Linked DNA regions of Schizosaccharomyces pombe. Changing the gene in region 1 together with any one later gene gives a genetic interaction. Each region holds a gene or a part of one and is shown in the gene's direction. Other genes may lie near its edges.

What was found. Genes that interact genetically often act in the same process or in processes that back each other up.
Region 2: mutations in SPOM_SPAC12B10.01C (region 1) and SPOM_SPAC8E11.06 together harm fitness more than expected from each alone (negative genetic interaction), as found in Schizosaccharomyces pombe (one large-scale study listed by BioGRID).

The regions. Positions count from the first base shown.
Region 1 is NC_003424.3:4,571,393-4,579,495, reverse strand, and holds the start of SPOM_SPAC12B10.01C (ubiquitin-protein ligase E3), read left to right. Parts: upstream 1-3,852; 5' UTR 3,853-4,054; coding exon 4,055-8,103. Other genes in the region: bun62 (WD repeat-containing protein), read right to left, coding at 1-869; acetylase Sdg1, read left to right, coding at 2,561-3,268. UniProt on the Schizosaccharomyces pombe protein: E3 ubiquitin-protein ligase which accepts ubiquitin from an E2 ubiquitin-conjugating enzyme in the form of a thioester and then directly transfers the ubiquitin to targeted substrates.
Region 2 is NC_003424.3:3,375,468-3,381,602, reverse strand, and holds SPOM_SPAC8E11.06 (uncharacterized protein), read left to right. Parts: upstream 1-3,508; coding exon 3,509-3,534; exon of another isoform or gene 3,535-3,581; coding exon 3,582-3,599; exon of another isoform or gene 3,600-3,644; coding exon 3,645-3,702; downstream 3,703-6,135. Other genes in the region: SPOM_SPAC8E11.04C (palmitoyl-(protein) hydrolase), read right to left, coding at 1-144, 259-404, 460-507, 619-703, 775-847; SPOM_SPAC8E11.05C (uncharacterized protein), read right to left, coding at 2,315-3,331; tubulin-specific chaperone cofactor A Alp31, read right to left, coding at 3,881-4,084, 4,237-4,323, 4,387-4,455; SPOM_SPAC8E11.08C (uncharacterized protein), read right to left, coding at 5,785-6,087.

The DNA.
Region 1 (8,103 bases):
AAAGATTTTAGGTTTTTTTCCGGTACCACAATATGGAGTGGTTGCTCGTGACGATATTTGTCATAAAGCACAAGCCAACCATTGCGAAAAGATACCAAAAATTGAGAATCTTTGCCAGCAACCCACTTTATAGCGGTAACAGAGGAGCTATTCAGCTGTCCATTTTTGTTAAAGCGTAAATACTTGAAATTAATAGGATCATACCAAAGTACGTCGCCTGTATCAAACCCAATTATTACGTCCAAGCCCTTGGGACTTTTAGTAAAGGAATTTATATCATGGCAAACAGGTGATGCCCTTGGAAATTCCATTTTGAGTAAGGCAGAATGGGAATTAGCAGCACTCACATCAAGCCAATAAAACGATTTTTCGTGATTAGCAAACACAAAGGTTTTACCATGAATAGAAGGCTGAAAAGAACGTACTATGTTGTCATGAAATGTAAGGGAGGAGATAAAGGATTTAGCATTGATTAAAGGAGCACCAGCACGAGAGGCCGGTCTGTGAAGCTTCAAATAAGGAGTGTTAGAGGAAGAAAAGTTGTGGGACTTTCGTTTACTATTGCGATAATTTTCAAGAATTGAGGGGACATCTCTATTCTCTTCAACATGATGAACGCCATGAATTTTCTTAAGTTCTTCAATATATTCTCGTGGATAGGGGTAATCCCAACGGGAGAATTGAGCAATATTTATCCGCATAAAGAACAGACGTTTTACAGGCGTGTTTGGATCTAAAGGTGAACCGGTAATTTGAGGAGTAGAACGTGATGAACTGCCTAATTGAAATTCATCCTTCAAAACATATTCTCCCTCGCGAGCAGTTAAAAACAGAACCGGACGGGCAATTCCAGAAGACATCGTTTGCATAATATAGTTAGGTAAAGGATAAGAAGTGAAAGTTCTGCTGAAACAATCCAAATGGTAACGACCTCAAGTACTGAGAAGTTTCTATTCAATGAAGTCGTAAAAGACAATTAAGAAATGTATTTAAATTAGTGAATCTAGTAAGAAGAGCGATTTTTAAGCTACTGCTTTCTCTTTTATTAATCAATGAGAATTAAAATAGGAGTATACGAAATCGCATTCGAACAAATTAATTTATAATTAAAACTTATGCAGAAGACTGAATTTCCTGCAAAATCGTAAAATGTTCTTAACCGACTAGCTCGACCGTACAGTTTGTTGAAATCTTCTAAAGGAGTAGCGTGTCACTTATAATATGAAAGCGACATAAATAACGCTAATTAAAGAACAAACCCAATTTACGTTAATAAAAGGGTATGTGTTTCATTTTAACATTTATTGAAGCTGCTTGAGGTAAATATTTCAATACACTATTCTTTGCAATATTTGGATCAATCACATTTTTTAAAACTCATTAAATAGTTCAAATAAAGAACTCTTTAAACTTGCGTTAAAATATAGCAGATACATACTGCATTGCTTTGAAACAAAACTTTATTAGCACTTTGCACGATTATATTGTATCCCGTTAACCATCACTATATACTACGTGTCAGGAATTATTTACGTTTCTGTCCCCTTGGGTACTCTTCATTGCTTTTTTATATTCAAAAGCTATTTAAGAATAAGGATAATGCAATGGAACTTCTTTCTTTAGTATAGTTTTTAAGTTATTCGTAAAGTGTAATACTATTTAGTATCTATAATTCTTAATATAACCAAATCATTGGCAAATTAACTGTGTAAAATAATTTTGATCACTCAAAAAACTTATCGTTGTGTTATAGCTTTATAATGTTATGAGCTAGTTAGTAAGGCCCTATTATACAAGAATTTCGAAAACGGTGAAATTTGCAATATTTGTAACTTGCAAGAAGTGAAAATTCAGCATTTATACGTTTTGTGAGTGTAGTATATTTTCACTCTTGGTCAAAATAGGCACGCTGAAAGTAGTGTAATCTATGAAGCTTTAATTTATATAGTGAAAAATACTGTAAATGGATTTCCTATCCTTGGTTTTCGGATTCATGTAAAGTTTGTTATGCAATCTAATCGATGCATTATTACCTTCCCTATTTCTCTACTCAATTGCCATTTTTTTTAAATGTATATTCTGTTCCTATGTATACATTATACTCTTTTTATCCTAGGAATTATTTAAAGATTTAATATTCAAGCCTAAAAAAATTGTAGAAACTAATTATTTAGTAACTGAAGATATAGCTTATAAATCCAATTGTTATTTCAGCTAGAAATGTTACTTCGATCGTCACAATATTCTTTTCTATTCCTAAAAACATTTTAAAAGCTAGTTGACCCTAAATGTGATTTATCAATAGAATCAATAATCTCAATCATTTAATAAGAGGGTAGATTTGATCAAATTCTAGTTGTATGAAATTACAATTCGCAAAAATTGACTGAAACAACCAAGGGTTGGGTAAATCTATGGTGGTATAATGGCTTCATTCTTACCTACTCCACTTACGAACCTCCATCTTCTTAAATTTCACAGTAGAAGGTAATTGTAAAAGAAATATTGTGACAATAAATTTTAAAAAGATTAGCAAAAAAGAATATTTAATTACATAAAAATGTCGAATGTGCAACGTAAAAGAATTGATATTCGTCGTCCCACCCTTGCGGAGCTGTCGAGTATTCGATCGATTGCCATGAATGCGTTGAACGGTCAATCGAGAAATCTCTCTCAAAAAATCTTTTGGCACCCGTTGTATCTTGCGGTTTTTGGTTTGGTGTTTATGGGGATATATCGCTTAACAAACATGGTAGAAGGAAATACAAAATTACGAACTTTTGTTTTATTAATATTGGTTAGCGCTGTCTTTTTGACGTTGATTGAATTTCCCTGTAGAAATGTGTATGCAAAGATTAGCACTGAAGACAATCAACCTGACGGCTGCTTGGCTGAAGAGAATCTTAAACATTTTTATATGGCCCGCATTGACAAAGAACGAGTTATTGGTATTATAGGTATCTTGCCTGCAAATGCTCCTGGTGCATACCAAAACACACCAACTATTGTCCACTGGACTGTCATTCCTAAATTTTATCAGTATGCGTTTGATCTCCTAGATTCAGCACTTCGTGAGGCGAAGGAGATGGGTGCTGACGTGGTCTCAGCACGAGTTTATTCAACCGACCCAATGTTGAAGGCTTTTGAAAGAAAAGACTTTACTCCTGTAGTTGATGAAGCTTTCGATTATCTATCGTTTTTCGGATTGCGCCGTTTAGTGCTTCAAAAGAATTTGAGCGAACAACCTGGTTTTGAAAATAGAAGATAGATTATTTAACTTTCCGCAAATATTACCCTTTCGTGCATGTAATTGCGCAGCTACAACTTGTTTTTCGCTGTATGTTCATATTTTAAATCTTTTTGTTTTGTGTTTATTTTTTTCGTGAAATAGTTACGAAAGAATTTCACGACGTTCAAGTAAATTTCTACCTAGGGCAAAAACTAGACCCACCGTGTTGTTGAATAATTGTTAAAAGTTTTAGAAACTATTTCATTACGTCCGCTCCATGTTCAAGAGTTCGTACCCGCTAGACTGTACAAAACAATTTGAATGTAAACTTAATATTATATAACTGATGTATGTTAGTGAATACTAAGTGAGCATCTCATTTCACTATCGTCAATTATGCTTGTAAAAACACAATCGATCGACTACAAAAGTACGTTTAACGAGTGTGAATCAAAGCTGAATCAATAAATAAAATACAGCATCTTGCAAATAAAAAACAAATTTAAAAATATTTAATGACAGTAAAAGACAGAAAAAAACAATAGTACTTAGAGTAATAACGTATTACTATAACACATACTACGGCAACATAATGGTGCGCCCTTGTTGTCGACGCTTTTGCCATCTCCCTATGTCAACAGCACATTCCGCCTTAAACAAGAGATCATAGAAGGATCAAATTAAAACTGGGATTTTGTCTCCTTGGTTCAGAAATTACTTGATTGTTTTGTTGGATTGTAATTAACAATCACTCCAATCGCTCGCCGAAAGGCTTCCAAATTTTGTTTATTAAATTAGCCTTTCTGAGCGACATTTTGTTATTTCATGTCTGTTCAAGCGTATACGAATACTCCGAATTTACCGAATTTAATACATAGTGAATCTATAACCAACTCACCTGTGTTTATACCAAACCTACGAAGTAAGTCCGACAACAAACATAGATTAAACACTTCTGAAGAATTGCCATTTACAAAGAAACGCAGAGCAACTAAACATTTTTTAAAAATGGAGGTATCTGCCAAAATTTCTGAACCACCTTCTAGTAAAAGTGTGGAATTTGGAAGGCATTTAAATATGCGGCATGATTTTTCCGAATTGCTTGAACAACCACTTACAACGAGCAAAACTAGGGTCTTTAAATCCTTTAATGAAAAGCTCAAAGGTAAACCCCAGTTAGTGAAATCCGATAAAGGTGTGTTGCCTCTTAATAAGCAATCGGATATACTGAATTCTTATGAACGCGTTTTAAGCAATGCTTCGGTTGATTCTGCATTAGACAAAAAGGCGGAAGTTGATATCATTCCATTTGATAAATCAGTTATGGAACCAAAGAACATAACTTTTAATGACAAAAGTGGCTTAACCAAGTTTGGGAATTCAAACTCTTATGAAACTACGTATTCTGACTCCAGCAACTATCATACTTCTACTGATTCGTCCCAATATAATGACCAAGATGACCACGTCTATGATGATACTAATGATGGAACTGATGATGATATAAATAATAACGAGTACAAAGACGATGAATCCAGTAGTGGCAGTGAAAGTTATGAAAGAGATGAAGATGTTGATGAAGAGGAGGAAGAAGACGATGATGAAAACAATGATGAGGGAGACGATGAAGATGAAAATGAAAATGACGAGTTAAGAAGCGAAAACGGTTCACCTAATCCTTCAGCCGCTGTTATTAATGAACAAGAAAACATGAACATGAGTGGAATCGAAGAATACGATGAAACTAACTTGTTAAATGAACTGGGAAGAATCAGAAGAGGTAATCAGTTTCAAAGTTTAGCGTCTTCTATACTTTCTTCCGGTAATTTGGAGAACTCTGATGACGAAGATGTTTCTTTAGGTCCACAGACATACCGTTTCAATAGTTCCTTTCATCCTTTTCGTTCTGCATTTTCTGCTCCAGGTGTTCAATTTGGACGCTTGTTAGAAGGAATAAAGGATTTTAGTGATCCTACTGTTCAAATGCTTTCTCTTCAAGAACTTTCCGAAGCGTTTGCTATGAGTACTGAAGATATGCTTGTTGGATTGTTTTCAACCGATTCATACATTGCGGCTTTTTCCGAAATCTTATCTGGGCGAAATTATGATTTCGGAGAAGTCTCTATTCAACTTATGCTATCCTGTACTACCTGTGTATCTAATATGATGGAAGCTTTGCCTTTATGTATGGCTAAAATAGCATATAGTCCTATTGTTCGCATTCTGTGTGAAAGAATGTTTGATATGCAATACATTGATATTGCTGAACAAGCTTTAGGAGTTTTAGAACGGCTTTCTAAAGATTTTGGTATTTGTATTTTGGAACACAGAGGAATGTTAGCTGCTCTCCAATACTTTGATTTTTTTTATACTACAGTTCAACGGACAGCTATTTCTCTGGCTGCTAATTGCTGTAAGTTTTTGGATGAATCCAATGCTTCCGCAGCAGAAGAAATTATTCCATTGCTTTCTAATATTCTACAATCTTCTGATACCATAGTCGTTAGTAAGGCATATTCTTGCCTGGAGACAATTATTGAATCTTTGAAAACTTCACCAAACATAATTGAAACGATAATTTCCGAGGATTTGATCACCACTATTGTCAATGCTTTGACTAATTCTACCTCACAAAATAAGTCAATGCACTTACAAGTGCAGCTATTACATATAATATCATCTTTGTGTCAGTCATCTTCTGCTTTGATTTTACCTTTTCTTAACCATAATTTGCCGGATGTGATGTACGAAATGCTGTGTGGAATACCACCTTCTGATACATCCCATCAGGCTGATATGATTACAATGCAAAGTTTGTATTATTGTCCGATCGAGTTAATAGAAAACTTGTTAAGAGCTATAACTTCTTTGCTTCCTAAAAACACTAGTAACTTGTCTGATGAATTTAACACGAAACTATATCGATTAAACAGTATACTCTTAACTGTTGTAATGGACATTTATTTTATTGTGCCCCTTCATGATATCCGATCGTTAGCTGTGACTACGGCATTGAAAATGTTATGTTCAATTAGGGAAAATAATTTAGATGGCTTAGTTTGTTCTCTTCCTTTATCATCATTCATTGCTTCAATTTTAAATTCACGCAAATCTGACAATTTCTTGAAGCGAGATGCTTTAGAAATGTGTCTATTTTTGCTTGAAGCACTTCCTAATGTTTATTCTTCGTTATTTATACGAGAAGGCGTTGTACAGGAGGTTGGATTTTTAGTTCGCTCTACCAATGCAGACATGAAGAAAATAAAGTTAAGTATTTCCTTTTCACAAAACAAATCTGCTGCTCGTCATGAGGAGTTGAAGAATTTATCGACGTTAAAGAGCCTTGCCAAGGAGTTTCTCTCTAATTATAAGGAAGAAAATTTAGAAAACTCAACATTAGTTCAACTTAAACAATTGTCTAAACATTTATTAAGTGAGACCAAACAAGACGAATCTTTTTCAGAACTAGCCAAAATATTTCAAGAAGGATCTAATATTACTAGTCATGAATTACTTCATTCTGGATTAATTCATAATTTGCTTTTATCACTCAAAAAATTTGGAAGTTCATCTCTTCGAACATTTTTGTTAGCTATGAATACATGTGATGAACGCGAAGTTTTAGAATTTGGTAATGGTCCCTTAGTTTCACTTATCTTTTGTTTGCAAAATCTACTTTCAACTGTTGAGAATTTTCAACTTTCAACGTTACCCCCAGATACTGAGAATGCGGTAGATCATGTTTTTTCGCGGCAGTTTAAACTTCGTTTAATGGCTCTTCCGGGATCAAGAATTCGACCACCTTTCCGATCTCTTGTCGTTTCTATTAATGGGCTAGCTACTATTCGTACACTTGATAATTATCTTCACAGTCGCATTTCTGTGCGTAATGAAACTGGACGTCGTTTTTCAATCCTCCGCGAGGCCGGTTCTTTGAGGGAGTCAATGAGTGGATCATCTCGTAACTCTTCAGGAGACTATACTGACTCAATGTCTCAAGATGCTCCTAATCACACAACAGAGCCATCAGAGCGACGTGACTCCTCGACATCATCACATTTCGAGGAACATTTTGTATTCAGTTTGATGGGTAAAAAGGTACCCCGAAACAAAACAATATTCAGAATTTTATATGAGTATATACAGTTGTCTGACGATCATACTCTCGATGATTTTTGGAAAACTCCTGTCCCAATATTTTATGGTGAGCCTGATTGCATTCACAATGATATGAAAGGGGAGTTAAACTATGAGAATGAAACAGAGGGATTTTCTATAAATATTAGAGAAATATTGGATTTATTGAGTATTTTGTATTATGGGATTAGAGACGTTCATACCCTCTTTCCTGACAAACATTTCCGTGGCAACATTGAAAACATTCTTACAGATTTTAGCAACTGGAAGTTGAGTGCCAAATTGAATAGACAACTTGAAGAGCAACAACTTGTTGTTCACGGTTGTTTACCCTCCTGGTGTATATCACTAACCTCTGCATATCCATTCCTAGTACCGTTTGAAACTCGATATCTTTTATTGCAATCTACTGCTTTTGGTTTATCAAGATCCGTTTCTTTTCTTTTGTCCCGAAATCCTGAGCTATCAAAAAACGAAAGTTCCTCCATACTTCAATTTGTCAGCTTACATCGCCAGAAAATTCGTATTTCTCGGAAAAAAATATTTAATTACGCTTTGCATTTGCTTGCAACTTATGCGGCTTCTGAAAATATTCTTGAAATAGAATACGAAGATGAAGTTGGTTCAGGTCTTGGGCCCACTTTGGAGTTCTATACTTCAGTATCTAAAGAATTTACCTTAAATTCTCTCGATATTTGGCGGAATGATCAACCCAACTCTAAATTTGTGTACCAAGC
Region 2 (6,135 bases), 1.2 Mb from region 1:
AAGTCAAAAGAATGGGTATCTCTTTAGCAACTCGAGAGAGAGCGGATGGAAATTTTGAAGCCAAAGGTAAGAACCCTGAATGCCCCATAATTCCTGCTAAACGTTTGGGATAGGTAAGTCCAGCGTAAAGGGAAACCATACAACCTAGAGAAAATGACGAGTTAGTAAGCAATATACTTTTGAAAAGTGAAAACCATTTCACTTTTTTTTTGAAAATGCAATGACTAGCGAGTTAACCGCTTTCATGGCAGCTCATACCTTGTGAAAATCCGCCAATTAATATGCGATCACTAGGAATCCCCAAAGCAAGTTCTGCATCAATCAATTCATGCAATTGGCCTGCTGAACGTAGTATCCCATTCTCGTCCTCCCTCTTCATATCCGCAAAACTGTAGATATCATACCTAAAAAAGTTTTAGCGAACATTGTACTTTATCATCAAGCAGAACAATTACTTACCATGCTGGCATTTTCATGCCATTGTTGACGGTAACAGGGATAGATGGACTATATACAAAATAATTAGCATCAAAATACAAAGTATGTAATGCGAATTCTCATTCATTCATCACACATTACTTTAGACAATTGCATGATTAAATACATTCTTTTACTTACGCATTGGGAAAGATCCACTTAATATGCTTAAAATTCGACCACGTATTTGCCATAAAAGACCATCCTTGTCCACTATCTCCTAAACCTAAGATAAATGTGTTACTATTATGAAGAAAATATACGATATGTTTGTCTCAACATTATCATCGTTCATACCATGAAGGAAAATCACAGTGGCCGTATGCGCCACGCTGGGATTAATTATTACTGAATTGAGTTTGGCAGTCATAATGAAACGTTTTAAAAAGTACTAAGGGAATGGAGGTGTTGCAATAGGGCAAACACCAGTTTTATAAGACAGGTATTTGTATCAAAGCTAATTGAATCAAAAGCGAAGGTATGGTGTAAATATATAATATTTCCCTTATGATTTTTTCTTTTGCAGGCGAAAAATAATCGTAAAAAATGGTGTTAGCGTTAATCCAAGCGATATATGTATATCTTGAAACTAAGAATCCAAATTGAGTGCTGGCTATTACAATACGTTATCGCAATTTGTATACTAAGAATTTTGTTCCAAAGGTTTTTTTTTTTTGTTTATAAAACACAAAATTAGCTTGACTAATTTTTTTTTTTTTTTGTTATTTATATTGCTAGCCAAAGATGCTTTCTGCATTTCTTCAACCGCAGAGTCGTACTATACAATCCAACCACATTACAAAAATAACTTTTTATTTTCAATGGGAAAGTATTACTTGAGAATAGTTATAAAACAGACTGCTTAAATCTGTCAGCTGAAAACGCTTGTGCCAGAACATTACTCAATATCAATCGCGTATTCATATTCCTAGTACTGCACCAAAATCCTTTTATAAAAGCAATCGCTATACTTAAATAGTTTAATGCATTTGTCAAAATAATGGCTGGTGAATTTAGGCAATAGATGAATTGCATGTAAATCTCAAAAAAAAAAGGTTAAACTATCCATCAAGTAAGAATCATTTAGCGTCTGACAAACATACCAATAATATACAAAATTTTGCAGCTCCTATATACGATGGTTCTCGATTTACCTGTAGTAACAATCAAATTTTTATAGTCCTTTCCTTGCGTTTTTAGTCAAGAAATGCCTTAGCTTTTTTTAGTCGATAAGCCATCTAATTCCATAAGTCAATTAATTGTTTGATATTACTAGGAACGTCCAGGTTGTAAGAGAATAAGGGTACTAGTAAATCCAAAGCATTCCAAATGCAAGTCTAACGAATAAGTATAAATAAAAATAAAATTTCAACTTCCTGCTTATAATTTTAACAGTTCATTCAAGTTGTTATCAATTTGCCAGAAATGTGTCGACAAATGTTCTTAATGTTTTTTTAACGATGAATAACTTAAGTACCAACAGTGAATCAAAATTTGCTCCTTTTCTTTAGAGATAATTATGGACTATTATGTAAATAACCAAGAATGGCGCTTAGGTTAGGATACTGTTCCATTTATATTTACAAGTGGTTGACATAATATTGATAAACACATAGAGAAGAGTCATTAAAATATTAGTCATTAAAAAGAAGAGAAGAGGCAAAAGAATCGAAGAAGACAATACAGCTGAATCACAAGTCAAATCTAATCACGTTAGACGTAACAAAGGTTCGTCAGCAACAAAAATAAAACGCTTCCGTTTTATTTTACTCCCGTAAAATTAAACAAGAAAACAGCAATTCAGGAAAAGAGGTCGGTAATTAAAGATATAAAGGGATCATTTATGAGAGGAAGTGCTCCTTCTAGAAAGGAATTTACGACCAGAGTTTCTTAAACGTTTGCTATGTTGAACTAAATCATCGACAACCGTCTCATATAACAACTTATCGCTAAGAGCTGAATCCCTTTTATCGGTCCAATATCGAGCAACTTCAACAGCTTGCTGCAGAGTTGATTCTAGTAACTCTATATGCTGTTGTAAAGACTCATGAGATCGGTGGGTTAATGCGTCTTTGTTTATGCTGCATAAACGACGAGCAGCTGAATAATCTAAATATGGTTCATCCTCAGATTTTGGCAACGTCACGGAAGACAATTCTATTGTGCGTGAAGAATTGAATGATCCCTGGGTAGAAGGAGTAGGCAAAAGTTCATCCAAATCAACAGGAAGACCCATAGTAACTAAAAAAATATGCCTGATGCTAGACCTCAGCCAATCTGGCCGTTGCAGCACGGGCATTTCAATCAGTTTTTGCCAAAGAGACAATATACGATCCGGATCCAAGGAGGATTCTTCAATTGTTTTCGGAGTTTCAGGTAGTCCAAATACAGAATTGACAGCATCTTGGAAATCATCTTGCCAATCACCCATAAATGTACAGATGGGGATATCATGTTCAAATTCACCAAAATCGTCAAATTCGTCAAACTCTTCTTCCTCTTCAACTTTTTTCTCCATTTCATTGTCTACAATGCCTGATTGGGAAATACTAGCTTCTCTATTAATACTAAGACTCTCCGCCCAAACAGTTGATGTAGCGTCAAGGTCAAGTTTAGATGCTTCAACGACTTTTTGGTTTTTAGAATCGTAATCCTCTACAGGATTTAAATCATCTTCTTCAAGAAGGTGTGGATCTATTTTTGTATCAGCTCCCTCTTCGCCATCTACATCTTCCTTCAACGATGAAGATGCAGAAGGGTCAATATTTACTTCAGAGTTGCCGCCGTCAGATTTCTTCTCTTCTTCTAAACCCAACACAGGTGATTCCCTTGATAATATTGGCGGACTTGCCATAGGTATACAAATGGAACGTTTTATGCTCCCAATCTGTTTAATGTTCACGCGAAGTGTTTCTTTCTCTTTGCTCAGATGGTAAGTAACGTCAAACAATGAGCTGTACAATCTAACATAGTGATACGCTACATTACACTCACAATAAAAGTGCAAATAAATACTAGAGGACGACTGTCTATGCTGCTTGTTAGCAGGAACATTTGGTTGTTTTAAAATTGTTTGATTGTCCAGCTAAAATTTAAATCTCTAGTAGAATAAAGGGGAATACGTATGTTTTTTTATGTGAACAGTTTCACCTAACTGGCAAAATTAGAATAGATTGGCGAAATCTTAAAAAAGATTTAAGCATGACTTGGATAATCCTTAAGTAGTTGGGATTGTCTATTATTTTAATGGATTGGAATAAAAATCGAAGACACAGTACAGTTGAGTAGGATAGCATTGAAAGGGTGGGTAAAGAATGATGAACGTAGAACCTTTTCATGATCGTCTTTTGAAGGGTCAGTAATAAATTTTAGCAGGGATCTACAAAAGCTAGTAAATGTGTATTCAGTGGTACCCATTCGTGGGGAAATTCGTTTGCTCTTTTTCAATTACTTCTTTTGCTTTTTCTAAATATTCATTTGCTTGTTCAAGTTCAGGAGTTCCTTCGTATGCACTGTCAGAAGAAATGGATTCCAAGTCGTTCGTCGCATTACGAAGACGTACAAGAGCATCTGGCAACGCCTCAAGATGCTTCTTCAAAACAAATTTCTAGAGGTCCAGAATGTCAGTACTTTGATTATTTTTTATTTTAAAAAAGATACGCTAAAGCGGAAACCACCGAAAAGTATCTTCAGCTTGGTAGAAACATCTTCTAGCACAACACGTCCAACGTTTATATGGTTTCAACTAATGCAACATACCTGATGCTCAATTTCTGCAGAATCTTCCCCATTATCAATTTTACTTTGTACACGTTTCTCGGCCTCGTTAATATCGATATGAGCCAACTAAACAATTGTTGAGGTCAGAAAATTCCATCTACAAAATCGCGATCCAAAAAGGAAACTTACTTCTACATCTTTAATAATTCTTTTAACGACATTAGTTTTGATGACTAAGCTCCTAACAGTATTTGACATGGTAGAAAATAAAATGGACGCGATATGCAAAGGAATAATGTTAGGTTGGATGATTTTCCTTGACTGCAGTGTAGGTAACGTTGGAATACAAAGGAATGCTAATGTTAGCGTGTGGTGATAAGTTACGAGAAACGATTAAGAAAAGCTAGTTCTAGTTAAGTTTTCAATTTCTTTTAAAGCCCTTTCCTTAAATTCCTAAAAAAGGGTATTTGATTAAATGTTTGCATCAAGTATCAGACTAGTTATTGATCGACAAACGTTTCATTCCTATATTATGTATGAGATAAAATTGCTCAGTTATTTCTAAATTTACGATTCACCGATACTTGTACCAAAAATTTCATGCTTTTATGGATGCTCAATCATATGGGAGGTTGAGCTTTTCGGGATTCAGCTATATGAAAATTTTCTAGCGCGTAATTCATTATATTTAGACGTAATTGCTTTTACAAATATTTTCCAAAACAAAAATTTCTGATTCTCCGTACACACAGTTATCTCCCAACAACCGAAATTGTTAAAAGCACGATTTCATATAAGGATAGGTTGATTGCTAATCACTCGAACCACAGTCTGTTAATAATTAGTCAACTTTGCCTAGCCAAAAAAATTCAGCTTCTATCTTAATCCTTGGAAAACAAAAAATAAAAAAAGGACCTAATACCCTCTTTCAAAGTAGATCCTGTACAAGATATTTAGTCTACTCAAAAAGCCGGTACAACGATATTAATGTCAACAGACTTCGGTATAATGGGACCAGTCTTCAATGTGAGGATAATAGCTAAAATCCTTTACTCTATATAGGACTTTAAATGGATCCTTGAATATTATTCTGTTTTCTAAAATGATTGATCATATTCTACGCCACAGATGCATCAAAAATTCAAATCATCGCTTGGGAGATAAAAGAGTGAACGCTTTTTCATAATCGAACAGCAACCTTTCGAACCCTAGTAGTCATTAGTATTTTAATCCACTTTTTTTTTTGCAAAGCTATGAAAAACAAAGACTGCAACCTGGTATAAGCATTTTAAACATATCGTACTTTGCGTGATCTAACAAATTAATCTCTATCTTGTCAGTTCACAACTTTGGACAGATACAGATGATGAATTTCGACAATTAAACATTTGCAAACAAGTCAAAGCTCAACATACAAGCATTCACTGTTTAACGCTTTTTGAACTTTCTCATTTCCTGAAACGTTTGTTTACAAGCTGATATAAAAAAAGGGATTGAATTGAACGGCTCAGTTGATATAGATTAATTTAAAAAGTGAACTCCGTTTAGAAAGTATCGCATAAGTTAAAAAATGGTATTCAAACAAAGCTAACAAAAACGAAACAAATCGCATTTTCCCATGAAAAATACAAGGTTGTTCGGAAAACTGCATATTTGAACATGATGACAGCCAAGAAGAAAAATAGAAGGATTTATTAGAATTCCCTTAAACTTTTCATTATAGTCTTTTCGGTACGGTAACAACCATATATACAATCTATACATTTCTTCAGACCATTCAAATCTTAAAATGGAGCTCCCCTTCAATTGAAGAAACGGAAAATTTTTTCTTGTCAAATTTTTACAGACTACTAACCTACTAAACAGAACCTCATTAGTGGTAAAGTCCATTTTAATACTTCTTGCTTATTAATTCATTATTTTATTGCCGTAAAACAT